3 linked regions of the Macaca mulatta genome follow. The protein of the gene in region 2 purifies or fractionates together with the protein of the main gene of each other region. This does not show direct contact. Links are inferred from orthologs where the notes say so. Each region holds a gene or a part of one and is shown on either strand. Other genes may lie near its edges.

The links.
Region 1: the proteins of ELAVL1 (region 2) and TRIM21 purify together in Homo sapiens (affinity purification with western blotting; 3 studies listed by BioGRID, with this or other methods). This does not show direct contact. The link is inferred for Macaca mulatta from reciprocal best matches to the Homo sapiens genes ELAVL1 and TRIM21.
Region 3: the proteins of ELAVL1 (region 2) and IGF2BP1 purify together in Homo sapiens (co-immunoprecipitation; 3 studies listed by BioGRID and IntAct, with this or other methods). This does not show direct contact. The link is inferred for Macaca mulatta from reciprocal best matches to the Homo sapiens genes ELAVL1 and IGF2BP1.

Annotation. Positions count from the first base shown.
Region 1 is NC_133419.1:71,541,629-71,548,256, reverse strand, and holds the end of TRIM21 (E3 ubiquitin-protein ligase TRIM21), read right to left. Parts: intron 6,488-6,628; coding exon 6,257-6,487; intron 4,947-6,256; coding exon 4,924-4,946; intron 4,216-4,923; coding exon 4,115-4,215; intron 3,821-4,114; coding exon 3,252-3,820; 3' UTR 2,880-3,251; downstream 1-2,879. UniProt on the Homo sapiens protein: E3 ubiquitin-protein ligase whose activity is dependent on E2 enzymes, UBE2D1, UBE2D2, UBE2E1 and UBE2E2.
Region 2 is NC_133424.1:8,845,205-8,852,530, forward strand, and holds part of ELAVL1 (ELAV-like protein 1), read right to left. Parts: intron 4,255-7,326; coding exon 4,101-4,254; intron 771-4,100; exon of another isoform or gene 473-770; intron 1-472. UniProt on the Homo sapiens protein: RNA-binding protein that binds to the 3'-UTR region of mRNAs and increases their stability.
Region 3 is NC_133421.1:60,956,888-60,964,213, reverse strand, and holds part of IGF2BP1 (insulin-like growth factor 2 mRNA-binding protein 1), read left to right. Parts: intron 1-848; coding exon 849-971; intron 972-1,375; coding exon 1,376-1,495; intron 1,496-2,407; coding exon 2,408-2,482; intron 2,483-3,301; coding exon 3,302-3,433; intron 3,434-3,672; coding exon 3,673-3,786; intron 3,787-6,334; coding exon 6,335-6,427; 3' UTR 6,428-7,326. UniProt on the Homo sapiens protein: RNA-binding factor that recruits target transcripts to cytoplasmic protein-RNA complexes (mRNPs). This transcript 'caging' into mRNPs allows mRNA transport and transient storage.

The sequences.
Region 1 (6,628 bases), on a different chromosome or scaffold from region 2:
GTGTTTGACCTTGGGTAAGTTACTTATTCTCTCAGAGACTCTTCCTGGCACATCCTTAGGGTGCCAGAAAAAGGACTATCAAAACCGAGGTAACCCAATTAAACCATAAGAAAACTTTACTTACTAGGGCATTACAGTTAAAACACTTAGATAGACTCTATCTTAATGTAATCATATACATATATTTGATATCATTTGGACTATATTTTATTTTAAATTAGATATGGGAGGGTGTCATAATCATTGCATTTATTGTCTTGATTGTACCTTTATCATAGGCCTATGATAAAAATAAATAAAATAAAGTATGAACAGGACCTTGAATATACATGAGACAAAATAAGCAGAGGATACATTTTAAATTTTCTTCCTTTTCCACTTTACTGACTTTGTCTTTAAAATTGCAGTATAATATCTATTTTTCCTAATTCAAAAGGAAGTTGTAGAATCAAAAGAGATTAGAAAATTCAACTAGTTTGTTTGAATTTTAAAGGACAATATTAATGAGAATTAGAATTAGTGCTGATAGAGTCTTTCCTCATTTCTCAGGAGAACTTTTATGTGGCAAGCAAGGGTGTACCTGGATTACTTGTTAGTGACTATTGGTGGGCGTAAAAGTTGAGATTCTTTGAAATCTCTACCAGTTGATTTATTTTGGTGGAGATCAAGGGAAGTATATCATCTGTATAATGTATATCTCCAAGTACAAAGGTAATCTGATATCCCAAGGTATTCAGATTTTGAGAATTGAGATTTAGGTTGATGTCATTATGACAGTCTCTTCTCACTGGTATATCAATGAAAGGGAGAAAACCATCATTTATACTGGTCAGCTCTAAGGCAGAAACACAGAGAAGCAGAAAAGCTGATTTTATAATCTACCCTTCTTTTTCTTCATTTTCTCCATGAACCTAGCAAATACAAGCCCACCATTCCCCAGTACCTCCTCATTTGCACACACATTAATTCTCTTCCATGTTCCTGCTCCAGTTTATTACCCAAGGAACTGGTTGACTTTGTCATTTATTTCGATTTAGCTCTGTAATGTTGTCATCTGAGGATTTAGGACCTGGGTCTTTTCTGTTCTTTTTATCTTTTCTTCATAGGATTCTTTTCTGTCCTATGTTAAAAGACAGACCATTACTCATCCTTAGAAGCAACTCTTTGATCAATAAAGTCTTTTCAAAGTCACTGACTTCTTTGTACAGTATCTGAATTTTTCATGAAATATTGAGTAGATATGGTGCTGAGGGCAAACTGAGACTCTATTTTAGTTAAGGAATCAGAGTTCCTGGAATGCTAGGGCTCTTTCACAGTATACTGTGATTCAAGTTTAGAGCTTTATTGTTCCAACCTTAAAAACTTAAAGTATGCTGTCACCAGGTGATGCTGTTACCTCAGTCCTGGCTTTCATATCAATGAGGGTTCAACTGATTGAACCCTACTATAAAGACACATGCACACGTATGTTTATTGTGGCACTATTCACAATAGCAAAGACTTGGAACCAACCCAAATGTCCATCAATGATAGACTGGATTAAGAAAATGTGGCACATATACACCATGGAATACTATGCAGCCATAAAAAAGGATGTGTTCATATCCTTTGCAGGGACATGGATGAAGCTGGAAACCATCATTCTCAGTAGACTATCACAAGGACAGAAAATCAAACACCTGCATGTTCTCACTCATAGGTGGGAATTGAACAATGAAAACACTTGGACACAGGGCAGGGAACATCACACACCAGGGCCTTTTAGGGTGTGGAGGCTGGGGAAGGGATAGCATTAGGAGACATACATAATGTAGATGACAGGTTGATGGTTGCAGCAAACTACCATGGCACGTGTATACCTGTGTAACAAACCTGCACGTTCTGCACATGTACCCTAGAACTTAAAGTATAATAGAATAAAAAAAATGAAGTTAGGCATAAAATAATGGGTACTGTAGTTACACAGGATTCAAAATATCAAAATAAATCGAGTTGTATATGTGAGGATAGTGATTACCTTCGTGGGCTGTGACTTGAAGGGAGCTCATCTGGATCTGCTGGGGTGCTGGGAATGTTCTGGTTCTGTATGGGTTCTATTACAGGATTCCATTCAACTTTTTACAAAAAGAATCATTGATGTGAATGCTATGTGCACTTTTCTGAATGCACATATATGTCAATAAAAAATGTAAAAAACTACACATTCCTGATCATTAAGAACAGGAGCCCCAACCCCCTGGCCGTGGACTGGTACAGGTCCATGGCTTGTTAGGAACCGGGCCACACAACAGGTGAGTAGCAGGTGAGCATTAGTCAGAAAACTTTGCCCAAGAAAGACGCATTCCAGAGAGAAATATCATTAAAATTGGATATTCCAAGGGGCACAGGAGTTGGCCAGTTTTCTAGAAGAATACTGAAAGCATAGGGCAGCCCAGCCTTGACCTTGCAGGGACAGAGAGCTCCAGGAACTTTGATGTTATCACTCGTCACTTACTGAGAACATGGACAGAAGGTGCTTCAGGTCCGTGAGGGTCAGAGATGCAGAGGTCCACAGAGCTACCCCAACCCTAGGAGAACTTTGTATTTCAAAAGCAGGTGTTCCATCATGGTAAGGAGGTAATATCCCCTCAGGCAGCGATCAGAGCCCAGATGGCCTTCTATCACCACAGCGGCTATGATGGGGAAGGCTGTAATGGGGAAGTACAGAAGATTCTTGACCTGGGTCTTCAGTCCAAGATCAAATATTTCAAATGGAGAAGAGGGGACAGCCCAGGCAGGAAAAAAACGTGCAATGTTAAAGACACGTTACTATTAATCATATTCAGAGTTATCAAGTATTTCAGGATTAAGGAACGAGGACTGAATGAGATAGACTGAGACACGGTTTTTTAAATTTTATTTTTTACTTTTAGGAAGTCTTTTTGCAAACCATACAAGATATAATAGAGATCTCATCAAAGATGACACCCTAGAGATGGAGAGGAGAAAACAAAACTTAAGTCCCATAAAGAAGGCAGAAACACGTTTTTGGTTGATCAAGATGAGTTTGGGCCAAATATAAGGAGGGAATCACAAAGCCATCTGGGGCAGGAATGTTGATGATGAAGTGACTTCCCTGCTAAAGCTCGCTTGCTGGGATCCAGATGCCTCTGCAGAGAGAAAGGTGGTTCAGAGTTCATGGGGAAAATAGGCAGGGTTTGTGGCTGAGAAGTGGTGCCAATGGGGAGAATGGCAGTGTCCAGAGAAAGCCATCAATAGTCAGTGGATCCTTGTGATCCAATATTCAGTGGACAGAGGGTTAGAGGGGCTGTGTTTCTTCCTCCGTCATTGAAACCAGGACTGAAGAAGGGCCGCAGAGGTCCTGTAAAGGCACATTCAGAGAAGGAGTAGATGAGGGAGCCATGGTCAGTGATGTTGTAGAAGGAGACCATGCCGGCCTCATAGTCCAGGAAAATCCCAATTTGGCATGGAGGCACCTGAAGGTGGAGGGGGGTCTGGGGGTAGGTGCCAGCCTCATATTTTTGTTTGTTCCACAACCAAATTGTCCAGAAGCCACTCTTGGAACTAAGCAAAAAGTGCCCCTTCCTGCGCACAGAGTCTCTGCAGACACCCAGGTCCCAGGCCTCCTTTCCTGTCACATCTACCTCCCAGTAATGTTTTCCAGAGTGGAAGTGCTGGGCACCCAGGACCATAGGATAACTATCAAATCTCTCTTCATTTCCAGGTATGCTCTGCTGGGTGTCTCCAAGCCTCACTTGTCTCCGATCTTCTGAAAGTATGAGCCATGGATTGGCTGTGTCTGGATCCAGAGTGATGTGGACTGCAGAGAGAGGACCATAGTCATGTCTTGCATGGGGGGAGTCACTAACTCTGTGCCTGTGGTGGGGGGATTTTGGGCAAGCATGAGGGGTCAACCTCCCTGTGTGAGGAAATGACCATCAGCCAGTTCTTGCCTTGGTCCTGACCTTTGAAGAAACCATCTTCCTTACCTCCATCTCTGCTCCCCCTGCTCTGACCTTCCATCTCTCCTCCAAGTTGCCATCCAGGCTCCCTGACCCTGGGATCTACTCTGCACCCCCATTATCCCCCGCAAAATTCCTAGAGCTTGCCTCACCTGCACATGTCCTCAGCATCTTCTTCAGCCCTGGCACATGGCACACACTCCTGAGTTCTGGAGAGGCAATATCCAGGCCCTTCAGGTTCCAGGACTCACTCCTGGGGGAAAGAGAGTTTGAGACTCCTGTCTCTTACTCCTATCCCAAACCCTAACACTATAACCTCCATTGTGGAGGAGGACTCTGATAATTTAATTCAACTCAAATTTACAAACACTTCTGGTGTTCAAGTCTTCAGGGGTGGGTGTGAGAGGCAAACAATGCAGGATTTAGTTTCTACCCAGGAGTTCCTGGTTATAGGCTGCAGCATGTGGACAGTCTGTCTCTCCTCTCTAAGCCTGAGGTCACCTGGCAAATGCATTCAATTTCATTTTATAGGCAATCCATCTGAGACAGGCTGAATCACTTCTGCAAGGAACCTCAAGGAGTCTTGCCCACACTGTGGGTCTGACTCATGGCTCTTTTTGGGAGGTAACTTGTTAGATTCCACTGAGAAAAGGAGTTCCAGCTGGCCATGCTCCAGTAGTCTGAATTCTGGAAAGACCCAGAACTTCCCAGGATTTCCCTGTTTGGCAGGGCTTTACTGTGTGAAGATGTTACGATCCAACTACTGTGGGCAATCACCAACTAAGATGTCCACTTATTAGCTTTCTGAGACCAGAAAATATTTTATAGACAATGAAGTCTTTGAGAATAGGAAGCCAGATGGGGAAAACTTCAGTGCATGTATTTCTAATTCAATAACCTTTGTCATAGGCATATATGCTTTCTGCTGGCCCCTCTTCTAAAAAAGAAAACTCCTCCTTACCTTTCCAGGACAATTATCACCTCCTGAGGAGAAAAGAGACACAGAGTAAGTTCTGGATTGCTGGATTGCCACTGAGACATTAGCCCTGTGGGTGATGTGATCCATCTGTGGTCCCTGGGGAACTGTTCCTTTCCTTCCTCTGGTCCAAAGCCCCAAAGATGATTCTGACCAGCTTGAAGCAGAAAGGATGTGTGGATGCTTGTGAGGTAACCAGAAGCCCAGCATGGATGTGACCTACAGCTGGGGAAGGATTATCAGTTTGAGGACTCTGACTCAAAGACCAGATTTTTTTCCCCCAGGGTAGAAAGAAAGGAGGGCAGAGAGGGCACATAGCCCAGCTTGGCTTAAGCCCAATCACAGGCAGAGAATGGCCAAGTTCAGGTGTCTAGAAACTGCTCTGTTCCATTTGTGGGCTAGCATTGCTTGGGAAGGAAAGGTTGGTTAGTTAAAGTTCCCTTGGGTACTTAATGTTGCCCCTTCCTGTATGTGAAACCAAATCACTGAAAATATTTTTGTTATAGGGATTGGGAGCCATTACATGGGAGCTAGCAGGATCCTAGACTCAGTTAAAAGTATGTTAGAAAGCCTGGTTCATGGCCAGGCATGGTGGCTCACACCTGTAATCCCAGCACTTTGGGAGGCTGAGGTGGGAGTCTGAGGTTGGGAGTTCAAGACCAGCCTGACCAACATGGAGAAACCCCATCTCTACTAGGGATGCAAAATTAGCCAGGTGTGGTGATGTAAGGCTGAGGCAGGAGAATCGCTTGAACCCGGGAGGTGGAGGTTGCAGTGAGGCAAGACCGCGCCATTGTACTCCAGCCCGGGCAACAAGAGTGAAACTCCATCTCAAAATAAATAAATAAATAAATAATAAATAAATAAATAAATAAATAAATAAGAAAGCCTGGTTTGGGCAGAAGAGAGCCTGTCAAGTCAACCCAATACAATTAGGTTTTCTGCACACACCAGAAAGCAATGGCTCATGACCACGCTGAGTCACAGTGAACAGGGGTGAAGAAAGAACTGTAGAATGTTAGAACAGAAGGGACTTGTGAGACGATCTAGTCCATCATTTCGTACAGTGAGGCAAACATATCATTGGTGGATGCAAGATGATTCTAAGTGCAACATACATTGATTTTTAAAAAGGTCCTATACTTATTTTCATCTTTACTTTGTGCCTTGAATGCAAACCATTCGTGGGTTTGAATTCTACTTTATTTAAGAACATTCCAGGGACCAGGTGTCCATTTATTCGAATGGCAGTTCCAGATAGCTCTGGTCTTTTTCAGTTATTCCCGGAATAGTAGAAGGGAACCCCTCCCTGTCTCACCTGCAGCAGTTCCAGTGCTGAGCCCTGGCGCCTTCTCTCTAGCTCTGAGATGAGCTCCTGCAGGGCCTGGCTCTGTTGGGCCAGTTCGGCCTCTTTCTCCCCTAGGATTCTCAGCTGCTCCCTCTCATCCTTCTCCAGCTCCTGCAGCTGCCTCTGTTCTTCTTCAACCAGGAAGTTTTTTTGCTGCACAAACTCTGCGTGAATCCTACATTTCTGTGTCTCCACCGTTTTCTTTAGTGTCAAGGGAAAGAGAGAGGTGGTTTTTATGAAAAGCTCCCAAACTTTGGGAATGGAGGTATTGGTACCTATTCCTATTCCCCAAAGACTCCACTCTGGTGTTGTCTGGGAAAACACACGCACACACACACAAGC
Region 2 (7,326 bases):
GGCAAATACGACTGAGAGCTGACGCTGGCCGGCTCGTAGGGAAGCTGGCTCCAAGCAGATGGCTTCATTCTGTTTCTAAAGACCTTGCGGCACAGCGGAGAGAAGGCATGCGTGCAAGTGTGGGCTCCTCTGGTGTTGTCAAGTGGCTTTCAAATGCAAACTGCCTGAGTGAAACGAAGAAAACTCAAGCGGGGCAGGAGCGATGCTGTTTAACACAGGGGGATATCAATTCACTCAATTATGTAATGGATGTATACTTTCTGAAGATGGCTCTGCATTTTTTTTTTTTGTCTTCCCCTAGTGTTTTTTATTTTTAATTTGTCTTTAAGATGGAGTCTCACTCTGTCACCCAGGCTGGAGTACAATGGCACGATCTCAGTTCACTGCAACCCCCACCTCCCTGGTTCAAGTGATTCTCCTGCCTCAGCCTCCCAAGTAGGTGGGACTCCAGGCACCTGCCATCATGCCCGGCTAATCTTTATTTTATTTTATTTTACTTTATTTATTTGAGATGGAGTTTCACTCTTTTTGCCCAGGGTGGAGTGCAATAGTGCAATCTCGGCTCACTGCAACCTCCGCCTCCCAGATTCAAGTGATTCTCCTGCCTCAGCCTCCCCAGTAGCTGGGATTACAGGTGCCCGCCACCAAGCCTGGCTAATTTTTTGTATTCTTAGTAGAGACAGGGTTTCACCATGTTGGCCAGGATGGTCTTGACCTCTCGACCTCGTGATCCACATGCCTCGGCCTCCCAAAGTGCTGGGATTACAGGCGTGAGCCACCGCGCCTGGCCTATTTTTAGTAGAAATGGAGTTTTGCCATGTTGGCCAGGCTGGTCTCGAACTGCTGACCTCAGGAGATCCACCTGCCTCGGCCTCCCAAAGTGCTGGGATTACAGGCGTGAGCCACCGCGCCCAGCCCCCTTGTGTTTTTTAGAATTTAACAGCAGAGTCCAAGAAACAGCATAATCTCCAGATGAACACACTATAACGTTCACAATTAAGATGGATACAGAAGCAAAGGAATAAAAAAAAATTAAGCTGTTTCAGCTCAAGATGGGATTTTTTTCTCTTTTTTTAAAAAAGAGTTGGGGTCTCGCTATGTTGGCCAGGCTGTTCTGAACTTCTGGGCTCAAGCAATCCTCCCACCTCGGCCTCCCAAAGTATTAGGATTACAGGTGTGAGCCACCGCGCCCAGCCATCCTCGTCTATTTAACACTGAAAAGCCCATCGCAGGAAGGCAAACTCCACACAGGCTGGTTTGCCACACACTTCTCTTCCCTGCTGTCCGCCTTGCGCCTCATGAGGTCCCAGGAACAGGCACCCTCTGTCCCCAGCAGAGGGAGCCATAGCCCTGGGATGGGAGCCTCACCTTCCCACCAATTCTGCACCCTGGGGTGGGAAGCAGAGCCAGGGAGACCCTCCTGGCTCCCTTCTCTGCCTCCTTCACCCCTCTACAAAGATGCCAAAGGTTGCTTATGCCACCTTGAGGTTCACAGCTGACCTGGCGGGCGATACTGAGGTGCCCCCAACACCCTGGGAGACACTACCTTGCAGAGGGAAAGGAAGCAATGCCCCCAGCAGCTGTGTGCAGAGGTGAGTTCCCCCTGCCTGTGGCCTGTGTGTGCCTGAGAGACTAGGGAAGGCCCCGGGAGAGTTGGGTGGCTGGAGGCATGCTCTCAGGCACTGGGGGCTCCAAGTGGAGTGTAGGCTCCCATCATCAGGACCGTACTGGACAGAGAGAGGCCGAGGCAAAGCCGTGCATGTGGGGTCTAGAGGAGGAGGAGAGTGGACTGTGGGCCGGCGAGGTCAGCTTCCCCAGCCCCGGGCCCTGCGCAGCCAGTTCAGATGCCATAATGCAAAGTGGGGGGCAAGGAACCCACACACTGGCCCACCGACAGGATCGTTCTTTCAGCTAGCACTTGAAAGTAAGTGAGGGGACTTCAGGAACCACAGGAGATTCTTCTGGTACAAATCAGGGGAGTTTACACCAAGTAACTGGCATCCCCCGACCCTCTCCCCAGAGCGAAGACAGAATAGAGGCGGCCGTGCGAGTGAGCCCCGTCCTTCGGCACTGCTGGGTGCCAGGGCACGAGTCTGTGCTAGGCTACAGGCAGCCCCCAGAGCCCCCGTGAAGTGCACAGGGGCCCTTCCCCTCCTCGGGCCCCAGCGGGACGGAAGGCCGGCAGCAGCAGGGCCGGTGCGTGCCAGGTGGGGTTCCCACAGCCGGCCAGGAGGGAGAGAGACTGATAAGGCCGCCCACCCCAAAGCACGCAGCTCAGGGGATGCAGGACGATGTGCATGCCCCTCCAGCCTGCAGGCCAGGAAGGCCCCACCTGTGTGCACATGAAAGGCAAGGCTCTGGGCTGTTGGGGGAGTGCTGCTGTTCTCCCGAAAAGAGGTCACCTCAGAGCACGACTTCCTGTGGCCCGACTACTCGGTGTTATTTCAACATCACAGCCAAGGTGGGGCACAGTCTGTGTGGGAGGAATATGAAAACCACCCTTAAAACGAACGCACAGGCCTCACTGGGCTTGGGGAGCGGACTCTTCCCTCCTGGTTGGTCAGCACACTCCTGCTCCTGCCCCAAACAGAGCTAAGCGATTCTAAATCCCCTCAGGGTGGCCCGAGCTCCCCATCCCCCAGGCGGGGCCACATGCAGGGCTTGGCAAAGGATGTGGTGGTGCACTGGTTCCCAGCCTAGTGCGGCAGGCGGGCCAGGAAGTGGGGCCGGAGCACAGCCGTGGATGTGCACATGTCCCCTGCTCATCTCTGCCTGATGGCGTCACACAAAGCCCCATGCCCATGTCCAATGGCAAGACAGCATGGAAGGGCCAGCAAAGTGGCCAGGATTGCCTGCCCATTAGAGGAATTCACTGCCATGTGCTCTGTGCATTTTAGATGTGCTCCCCAGAGAAGGGCATCCGAATTCTGGGGATTTGGGCCATCAGACTACTGCACCCCAAATGCCTGCAATGAAATTCACAGTGGACAAATGTGTAGCAGCCTTTTTTTTTTTTTTTTTTTTTTTTAAAAAAAAAAAAGAAACAGCATCTTGCTCTGTTGCCCAGGCTGAAGTGTAGTGGCATGATCACGGCTCACCACAGCTGTATACTCCTGGGTTCAAGCAGTCCTCCCGCCTCAGTCTCCTGAGCAGCTGTGATGACAAGCCCACACCACCACACCTGGCTACAGTATCCTTTATTTTTTTTGAGATGGAATCCTGCTCTGTTGCCCAGGCTGGAGCTCAGTGGTGCAATCTCGGCTGGCCGCAATCTCCGCCTCGTGGGTTCAGGCGATTCTCTTGCCTCAGCCTCCCGAGTAGCTGAGATTACAGGCACCTGCCACTATACCCGGCTAATTTTTGTATTTTTAGTAGAGATGGGACTTCACCATGTTGGCCAGGCTGGTCTCGAACTCCTGATCTCAGGTGATCCATCTGCCTCGGCCTCCCAAAGTGCTGGGATTATAGGCATGAGCCACCACACCCAGCCTGCAGTGTCCTTTTCACCCCGTTCATGGGCAAGGCCAGGAATTTGGGTGCTTGAGGGAAGGTGCTAGAATCTCTTGGTGTCTTCACCATACATGAAACGCTGGCCTAATCCCCGGCCTTTTTTTTTTTTTTTTTGAGACGGAGTCTTGCTGTGTCACTCAGGCTGGAGTGCAGTGGCATGATCTCAGCTCACCGCAACCTCCGCTTCCTGGGTTCATGCTATTCTCCTGCCTCGGCCTCCCGAGTAGCTGGGACTATAGGCGCCCACCACCATGCCCACCTAATTTTTTGTATTTTTAGTAGAGACGGGGTTTCACCATGTTGGTCAGGCTGGTCTCGATCTCCTGACCTCATGATCCACCCGCCTCGGCCTCCCAAAGTGCTGGGATTACAGGCGTGAGCCACCACGCCCAGCCATCTCCAGCTTCTTTTAATGCCATCTTACCTCCTCAGCCTTCTCAAACCAAAGTCAACGTCTTCTCATTTTGGTGTTGTCCTCTTTTGCAGAATAACTAATGACATTTAAAATCAAACAGTGATCTGCCTTCCCTAGAAAACCCAGCCCCCACCTAGAGAACACCCTCCCCACACATCTCGGGCCCCTCTGGTACCTGTGGTCTGATCCACGAGGACTCGTGAGTTGATGATCCGCCCAAACCGAGAGAACATGTCCTCTACGTCCTTCTGGGTCATGGTCCGAGGGAGCCCGCTGATGTACAAGTTGGCATCTTTGATGACCTCTGAGCTCGGGCGAGCATACGACACCTTGAGAACACAACCACTTTCTGAGATTAGGACAGGTACGTGGCCAAAGCACTGAGGAAGGTGCTAAATTTTAGGTTAGGAAAAGCCAACACTGTGTGGTAAGAATTCATGCAAGGAACGATTATCATCACTGACACTCACCACCTGCAGCCGCATGGTGGCAAGCTCACTGCGTGATGGGCCGTGAGCCGGGGTGCCTGGCAGCGCTTCCTCACTGGGTGCTCACCATCCTCAAGGAGGCAAGTGTGACTCCTATGTCACAAAGCCCAGCAACTGAGGGCCTGACGCTTGTGGGTGGCTACCTCTCTGATGTGCTGGACAATGAGCCAGTGCCAGAGATAGGTCCTGGTGCCCGAAAGAAGTCCGTGCTGCAGCGGGCAAGCAAGCTGGGAGCTACTGGGAGCGCACGAGACTCCACGAGACGCCCCTGCCAAAGAGCAAGCTTGCCACGGAAGCCCTGATGGAGGAACCCGAGTTTGTACTCAAATCCACTCAAGGATTCAATATTAAATGACTCAACACCTTTTGGATTTTTATTTTGCAAAATCAAAGAAAACTGAAGAGAACCTTCTGGATACTTTGTCAAAATGGTACATTCATCATTCGTGTGGAGAGGGCAGTGAGGGGAGCCCGCAGGCCGATGCAAGACAAGGCCTTCAGTGCTTTCTCAGGTTGGCGCTGACAGCCGTGCAGACCCCACGGGCCCAGAAGGAGAAAAAGGACCATGGCGGGGCCGGGCACGGTGGCTCACGCTGTAATCCCAGCACTTTGGGAGGCCGAGGCGGGCGGATCACAAGGTCAGGAGACCGAGACCACGGTGAAACCCCATCTCTACTAAAAATACAAAAAAAATTTAGCCGGGCGCAGTGGCGGGCGCCTGTAGTCCCAGCTACTTGGGGAGGCTGAGGCAGGAGAGTGGTGTGAACCTGGGAGGCGGAGCTTGCAGTGAGTCGAGATTGCGCCACTGCACTCCAGCCAGCGGGACAGAGTGAGACTCCGTCTCAAAAATAAAAAAAAAGGACCACGGCAGAACCCCTCTGCCTGTGAAGGGGCAGCCTGGCAGGACTCACAGCCTCATCAGCAGGCTGGGATATGGAGGAGTGAGCAGGAGAGGAGGGAGCAGGAGCAGAGGGAGCAGGAGAAGAGGGAGCAGGAACAGAGGGAGCAGGAGCTGTGTGCCCGGGAAGGGTGGGGACTTGAACCTGTGCAAAAGGAGTTCGTTCCCTTTGAGGGAGGGGCACAGAACTGATGAGCCAAGGTAACTGAGACCAGAACGCAGGGAGAAACCGCCACTCAGGAGTCACTGGGCAGAATCTGTGTGCCGAGAACACACAGCATCCTCTGAGAAGCTCCTATCATGTCCCAGAGAAGGAACGACAGACATTGCCCCTGCTCACAGGGCAGCGGGCAGCCCAGCAGGGGAACAGGAGAGCCCCATGAGGAGAGGAGTGTGGGGCTGGAGGCCAGCTCCACCCGGTAGCGGTGGGAATCGAGGGAGCATGTCACTACGGGGCCCAAGAGGTCTCTGGGGAAGCCGTGCTGCTCCCAGGCCCGGGGCACCTCCATCAGCCTGTGGGCAGGAGCTCTGCGGACACTTGGCCACCCCACAATGTGGGTCAGGGGCTGCCAGTGCTGTCCCCAGAGAAAAAGAGGCTGCCTGGGCCCCCAGCCTCCCCTACAGTGTCCGGGCCTGCCCTGGCTTGCTGCAGACCCGTCTGGACTGGGGCAGTATTTGGGGACCTGCCAAACCGTGACCCTGGTGCCGGTGGAGCAGAGCTGAGGCTGTCACTGACTGGACCTACTGCCGTCCCTGGATGAAGCCCCAGAGGAGAAGCGCCCTAGAGCCAAGTGCTGGGGAAAGCTCTGATGCCTCCCAAGGACAGGTGTCTCCAAGGACCATGGGAACTCCGCTTTCCTCTTCTCTCTGGACATGGTCACATTCAGTCAGGCTAGAATCAGAGCAGCTGGTGCAGAGCAGGTGTGCACTGACCTGGGGATCCCCGGCCCCTCGGCCAGAATCCTCTTTCCTAAGCTCCCAACATCGCTTGCTCTTTGGCCTCAATCGGGTCTTTTTCTGGCTGCCAATGCTCAATAATTCATCCAGTGAGCGGTTCAATCGTGTTCCCCCCACCCCACAATCCAAATTCATAGCCGAAGTCCTAACCCCTTGGGACCTCAGAACGTGACCTGATTTGGATATAGTCATTGGGGGTGTAATCAGTTAAGATGAGGTCACACTGGTATAGGGTGATCTCTAATCAAATGTGACTGATATCCTTATAAAAATAAGGGAAATTTAGGCCAGGCGTGGTGGCACAGGCCAGTAATCCCACTGTTTTGGGAGGCTGAGGTGGGAGGATCGCTTGAACACAGAAGTTCAAGACCAACCCAGGCAACATGGCAAGAACCCATCTCTACAAAAAACAAAATTAGCTGGTCATGGTGGCACACACCTCTAGTCCCAGCTACGCAGGAGGCTAAGGTGGGAGGATCGCCTTAGTGCAGGAGTTTGAGGCTGCAGTGAGCCGTGATCACACCACTGCAGTCCAGCCTGGGTGACTGAGTGAGGCCCTTAAAAAAAAAAAAAAAAAAAAAAAAAAAAGCTTTTTTTTTTTTTGAAAAAATAAATTCAATTTAGAAAGGCAGGAAATGTGGATACAGGCACTCACACAGGGAGAAGGCTGTGTGAAGACAGACGCAGAGACTGGGGTGATGCTTCTCTAAGCCAAGGAATGCCAGAGACCGCCAGCTTCCACCAGAAGCTGTGAGAGAGGCCTCTTGGACAGATCCCTACCCAGTGCCTTCGAGAGAAACCAACCCTGCTGACACCGTGGTCTTGGGCTTCCAGTCTCCAGAACCCTGAGTCAATACTCTTCTTCTGTTGAAGCAACCTGGCCTGTGGGGCTTTGTCATGGCAGCTGAGCAAACTCCTGACCACTCAGCTTGCCACAGATCCCTCCACTGGCATCAATGCCCAGTTCCTCCTCTCCCTATTTACTTCTTGACTGCATTGATCATGACCTGACACGCTACATATTTTATTTACTTTTTTAGCTTTTTTTGTAGAGACAG
Region 3 (7,326 bases), on a different chromosome or scaffold from region 2:
TAGGGGTCCAATCTTGGGCTTTGAGTCCTGTGATTCCAAGTATGTGTACAATTTGTGTTTGTGTGCACTTTAGTGAAATGCGGGGATCCATCATTGTCATCTGATTTTTTTTTTTTTTTTTAATTTTTTTGAGATAGGGTCTTGGTCTGTTGCCCAGGTTGGAGCGCAATGGCACAATCATAGCTTACTGCAGCCATGACCCCCTGGGCTGAAGGGATACTCCTGCTTCAGCCTCCCAAGTACCTAGGAGACTACAGGTGTGCACCACCATGCCCAGCTAATTTTTAAAAATTGTATTTTTTGGAACAGGGTCTTGCTGTGTCACCCAGGTTGGTCTCGAACTCCTGGGCTCAAGCGATTCTCCTGCCTTGGCCTCCCAAAGTACTAGGATTATAAGCATGAGCCACTGCATGCAACTCATCTGATTTTTAAAGGAGACTTGGGGTTGGTGTACAGGACCAAAAATGTTTAGAACCACAGTCCTAGAAGTTAGGTGGAGCTGTCTCCACGCCTTTTTCTCATGTAGGGGGATTATAGTACAGTGTCATGAGTCTATCGTCTGTCTCCAGCAGCCTGAACAGCCAGAGAGGAAGAACTCCTGAGGGTGTATAACTGTTTGGCATTTCTGGTTGCAGTTGCTAGCCGTTAGTCCAGTGAGAACATCATATCACTTAAAATTCCACGCCCGAAGTGTGTAGGTGAGAGTGTATGAAAAGCACAGAATAGGCTTTTGTGCAAAAGCATGTAATTCATGTTTTTGGCCCACTTCCCCCTGGGGCTACTCGCGTTTTGTACAGCCAGGGCCTGTCAGGGTGTGCTGACTCCTCGTCCTCACCTTTCTTCCCCAGCTGCAGTCTCACCTGATCCCTGGCCTGAACCTGGCTGCTGTAGGTCTTTTCCCCGCCTCGTCCAGCGCAGTCCCGCCACCTCCCAGCAGCGTTACTGGGGCTGCTCCCTATAGCTCCTTTATGGTAGGTGGAAGGTCTTACTACACGGGACCCCTGGGCCCATATGTGGCCTGCCTTAGGGGGACCCAACACCCTATGGGAGTTGGCAAGTTTGCAGGGAGAGGGAAGGAAGGTCTCATGGGCATCCCTCCTCTCCAGTGCTCCTAGCCACTGGCTCTGAGGCTCCCAAATGTCTGCCTAGAAAGTTCCCGGGGCATAGGCAGCACTGTAACCTCACTCTTTCCTGGCCTCTTCCCTTTAGCCCTGCTGGGCATTGGAAGAACTAAAGAGCTCACAGCATCCCTTGGCAGCCCAGGGTGGCAGTTTGGTGTCTACTCCTTCCTTTTGAGGGTGCAAGGCAGGGGAGTGGAGGGTTTCTGGGCCATGCTACTTGGGCCCCCTGGTAGTAACGCCCCCTCTCCTGGCAGCAGGCTCCCGAGCAGGAGATGGTGCAGGTGTTTATTCCCGCCCAGGCAGTGGGCGCCATCATCGGCAAGAAGGGGCAGCACATCAAACAGCTCTCCCGGTTTGCCAGCGCCTCCATCAAGGTGATCTGCTCTGTGGGTCTTCCTGTTTCTGGAAAGGGAAGGGGCTCTGCTTTTATCACTCTGCACTTTCTCCCACATTCCCCCTACTCATTTGAGAATTCTGTGTGTCATGTGAGGGACCTTTCCCCCATGGAATCAAAGTTCTCTTTGTTTTTGACCTTGCTTGGTTCCCATGGGATGGCTTCAGTGCTTCTGGGTTTTCAGGCTGGGCAGGGGCAGGGTTATAACATAGAAAGAGAACTTAGGTTCTAACACCAATTGACTTGGGTTCAAATCCCAGATCCACCTCATCACCCCCTTCTCCCAATACACTATATGATCCGAGCCTCACTTTCCTCATCAGTACAATATTATGAAGCTATGTAGCCAAAGAAAGCCCTTCGCTTACATACTAACACCAAGTTAAGTGTTAGTTGTCTGTCGCCTTCCCTGGTCAAGGTCCAGGGGAGAGAGAAGGGAGAATCTGTCATAGTGAAACAAGGGTGCTGTTAAATTTTCACAAACTTAAATCCAGTTGCTTTAGTTATCTTAAAAGCTTTGAGCAGAAACCTTGATTGTTCTCCACTGGAGGTGCAGTCACTGACCTCTATCCGTTGGTCATTTCATTTGTGTCCTTGCCTGTTGGCAGGACTCCACTGAAACCTCTCTGGGAGATTGGGAGATTGGTAAGTGGAGAGAGCAGGAGGCCCTAGTTAGAAAGTGTCATTGAAGCCAGTCCTTCTAACTGACCACCTCTGCCCTTCTAATAATTCTGGTGTGCAGGCGTAATGATGTGGGCTTCAGAGTCTTTGTTCTTCCTTCCCTAAGTCTTCAGAATGGGTAGTTGGGAGTAAGGGTGGTAGAAGGGCAACTGTGGACATGGTGGGGGTTTTCCCATAGAGGGTCCTTCATTGACAAGCTTTTTGTTTTTAGATTGCACCACCTGAAACACCTGACTCCAAAGTCCGTATGGTTATCATCACTGGACCGCCAGAGGCCCAATTCAAGGTTTTGGTCTTTATTGTTTTGCAAGCTGAACATGGAGGAATTGAGGTTGAGTATTTCCCCTGAGGTAGGAAAAAGGCTGGGGCAGTTTCCCGTTAGCCATCAAGTCCTCATCACATCTTTAAGCCTTCCATGCAGGATAAAGGGCTGCAGAGCTATTTTCAAATTGACATCAAACTGGATTTCTGTTGTCTTCGTCTTCCCTTTTTAAGGTCCATAGAAGAAGATGGGAAGGAAAGAAGTCCGAGGGCATCTTATTTGCACTCTGCCTTCATTTCTAAGGAAGGCCTTTAATGCCAAATTCTTTTATGTCCCCACTAAATCCTAAGGTTCTTGGACTTCTGATCAGACAGCCAAAAAATAAACCATCAATTAGCTTAACCTAACATATGTGATGATAGAGGAGTGGGACAGCTCTCTGGGCCACTGGAGAGTCAGACAGGCCTGCTCTCTGTGTGACTTGATTAGTTGCCATTCAGGGCCTTGAAATGCTGATCAGTGCCGTGTCCAGACTCCATAGGTCTGGTTTGTAGCTTGTGAATTCCATTCCTCTGGGAACTGTTTTTTCCCTTGGGAAGTGTTTATTCAGTTACTTATAACTCATAATCTCCACCCAGGGTCTCCAGTATGATAGCTAAGCAGAAGGAGTGCTGACAAGCTGCCCACCTGAGCCTTGCCCTTCACCTGCCTTAGATGGTTAGCCCACCCAGGATGGGGAGGGCCTGTGGGCCAGAAAATATGGGCTGGAGCTTCCTTTTTCCCACTTTTCCCTTTTGTCATAGATATATGAACCACTGATTAACAATTACCTGCTCTTTTCAGGCTCAGGGAAGAATCTACGGCAAACTCAAGGAGGAGAACTTCTTTGGTCCCAAGGAGGAAGTGAAGCTGGAGACCCACATACGTGTGCCAGCATCAGCAGCTGGCCGGGTCATTGGCAAAGGTGGCAAAACGGTGAGCTGTGAGGGCCAGGTTGAAAGCCCTGGGCCATGGTCTCCAATCTCAACAGCTCTCTCTGGCCTCCTGTGCTGCTCAATCTCAGGACTCCTGATTTGCTCATTTACTTGATTCTACTCCCCAAGCTCACGTCCTGACTCTTCCAGTTTCTCCCTACTAGTTAACCCTGGTTCCTTCCTCCAACCCCACCCATGCTTTCTTGATGGCACCCTGAGCTCCTCTCTGGCCACCCCCAGGTGAACGAGTTGCAGAATTTGACGGCAGCTGAGGTGGTAGTACCAAGAGACCAGACCCCTGATGAGAACGACCAGGTCATCGTGAAAATCATCGGACATTTCTATGCCAGTCAGGTACATATGGTGCTCCCCCATTGCGGGAGGGCTGCAGGAGCCCAGGGAGCAGAGAAGCAGAGACTCCAGAGGTTGACCTGCATGACCTTGACAAGTCCTGGGGCCTCAGCCACATCTGCCTGCCTCTGGGCTAGGTTATTGCCCTCTTTGAGGTGCAGAAGTGGGATGTGTAGATGACATATTCCCTCTTATTATTCTCTAGGGAAAGTGATTTGACAAGTTTAATGTATATATGTTTCATAGATATATATGTTCTACATTAGTCCTTCCCTAAACCCTTTCTGCACTGGTTATGAAAGAAGATTGGTTTTGTTCATGGAATAATGATAACAGTACTAATACCCTGGATTGATTACTTTTTGAAATGTAGTCCCTCTGCCTCTCTCAGAATGGCTGTTCTCTCTCTGTTTTCTGCTCTTCATCCTCCCATTCCTTTCCCAGAACTCATCATCGCTATTCAGCACTTGGACAGGCCTCAGGGCCTGGAAGGGAAGGCCAATATCAGGTTCAAATTTTGCTGAACCTCAGCAAGGCAAGCAAACAGGTGGTTGACAGCTAATGGTGTTTTCCTAAAGTCTTAAATCCATCAGTGTTAGAACTGGAAAGGAACTTTGGAGACTGTTGATCACAGTTCCTACAATTCATAGAGGATATCCAGATCTTAGCAGGCTTGTGGTCTGCTGGGGCTGCTAGAGCAATTGGGGCAAACTGGCTCTTGGTTTTTTGGCTTCCAGTGCCATATAGTACAGCATCAAGTATGGAGGTTTTGGAGCCAGGGAGCTTTGACCTCAAACTTCACATATATAGCCTTTCTGCTATGTGACCTTGGATAAGTTACTTTCTCTGGTAACCCTTTGAGAAGTATTTATAAGAGGCTTTCGTTACATCTCAACAATATATATATAAAATAACAAATAAAAAAGGAAGTATTAATAAGAGCCATAAAATAATAATAATATCTAAGATTTATGGGTGCCTTTGGATATACCCAGCACTGTTTTTTGTGGTTTATATATATTAACTCATTTAATTCTCACAACAATTTCATTTTATAAATGAAGCTTAAGAGGGTAAATGTGAATCTTTAATTCAGCTGTTTTTTTTTTAAGAGAGTAAATATCCAAAGATGCACAAAGCCAGGATATATTAATATTAAACACGGAAGCAATTTTAGCTGATCAGAAGGAGAATTAAATGAAAAGCTATGTAAAACATCAAGCCATGGTTGATGGAGTTGGACCTCTTATTGACTCCACATTATTTTCCCAACCTAGATCAACTTCCTCTTTTCTTTCTTTCTTTCTTTTTTTTTTTTTTTTTTTTGGCGATAGGGTCTCGCTCTGCCACCCAGGCTGGAGGGCAGTGGTGTGACCATAGCTCACTGCAGCCTCTACCTCCCAGGCTCAAGTGATCCTCCCACCTCAGGCCCCCCAAGTAGCGGGGACTACAAGCAGATACCACAACACTCAGCTAATTTTTGTATTTTTTTTGTAGTAATGAGGTTTCACCGTGTGGCCCAGGCTAGTCTCAAACACTTGGGCTCAAGTGATCTCACTGCCTCAGCCTCCCAAAGAGCTGGGATTATAGGTGTGCATCACCACGCTTGGCTAATTTTTGTATTTTTAGTAAAGATGGGGTTTCACCATGTTGGCCAGGCTGCTCTCGAACTCCTGACCTCAGGTGATTCACCCACCTCAGCCTCCCAAAGTGCTAGGATTACAGGCGTGAGCCACCGCTCCTGGCCATATCTGGACATTTTATTCCTTTTCCTGGGGTATTAAAATGAAGCATGGATTTCTGATGATGTCTCCTAAGTTATGACCCTCTATAACAGGGGTCCGCAAACTCCGGGCCACGGACTGGTACTGGGCTGCACAGCAGGAGGTGAGCAGCGGACGAGCGGGCATTACCTCCTGAGCCCTGCTTCCTGTCAGATCAGGGCGGCATTAGATTCTCATAGGAGGGTGAACCCTGTTGTGAAGTGCTCCAGGGATGTGTAGTACATGCGAAGGATCTAGGTTGCACACTCCTTATGAGAATCTAATGCATGCTGATTTGAGGCTTCATCCTGAAACCACTTCCCCACCCCCACCTCCATCTGTGGAAGAAAAATTGTCTTCCATGAAACCAGTTCCTGGTGCCAGAACAGTTGGGAGTTGGGGACCACTGCTGTACAATGCGTAATATATTTCTGCCTAGAAACTCTAGGCATTCTGTTTTGGGTTTGGTAATGTGTATCAACTTTGTCAAATTTTAAATTCTGATGAATGGATTGATACTACTGTTTCTCCTTCCTTCATGTCCCCCAACCCCATCTCCCACTTAAACCCACCACGTTTGCTGTATTTTCCAGGGGATGCTCAGGCTCCACTGGAGGCAAAGAAATGTAAGGTCACCCCACCCCTCATTCTTCCTCTTTATCTTTCCTCTGAGTCCCGTGTGACCTATTATGTTTATTGCCTGGGTCTGGACCTGACGACCTCTCTTCCGTGGAAGGCTGTCTCCTTGGAGGTCCTCACACCCACCCTCTTGCCTGTTCTTGCTGCAGATGGCTCAGCGGAAGATCCGAGACATCCTGGCCCAGGTTAAGCAGCAGCATCAGAAGGGACAGAGTAACCAGGCCCAGGCACGGAGGAAGTGACCAGCCCCTCCCTGTCCCTTCGAGTCCAGGACAACAACGGGCAGAAATCGAGAGTGTGCTCTCCCCGGCAGGCCTGAGAATGAGTGGGAATCTGGGACACCTGGGCCGGGCTGTAGATCAGGTTTGCCCACTTGATTGAGAAAGATGTTCCAGTGAGGAACCCTGATCTCTTAGCCCCAGACACCCACCCAATTGGCCCAACATTCTCTGCCCCTCGGGGTGTCAGAAATTCTAGCGCAAGGCACTTTTAAACGTGGATTGTTTATAGAAGCTCTCCAGGCCCCACCAAGAGGGTGGATTACACCTCAGTGGGAAGAAAAATAAAATTTCCTTCAGGTTTTAAAAACATGCAGAGGGGTGTTTTAATCAGCCTTAAAGGATGGTTCATTTCTTGACCTTAACATTTTTCCAATTTTCTTCCCCCTACTTGGGTAATTGATTAAAATACCTCCATTTGCTGCCTCTTTCTATATTTACACTAATTGTTTTATCTTTATTGCTACCAGAAAAAAATGCGAACGAATGCATTGCTTTGCTTACAATATTGACTCAAGGGAAAAGAACTGTCAGTATCTGTAGATTAATTCCAATCACTCCCTAACCAATAGGTACAATAGGGAATGAAGAAGAGGGGAAAATGGGGAGAAAGATGGTTAAAACACATAATAATCCACGTTTAAAAGAAGTGCCCTTGTGGCTGATCTGTTCCAGATCACCATCTTCAAATTGGCACAACCGAAATTTCCCCACTGTGTTGGGGCTTCCCCACCACATTCACGTCCCTCTCCCGTGTAGGCTTCACATTATGTCCAGGTGCACATAGGTGGTATTGAATGCTCAGCAGGGTAGGGGCTGACCACTGTCCCTGATTCCCATCGTTCTCAGGCGGATTTTATATT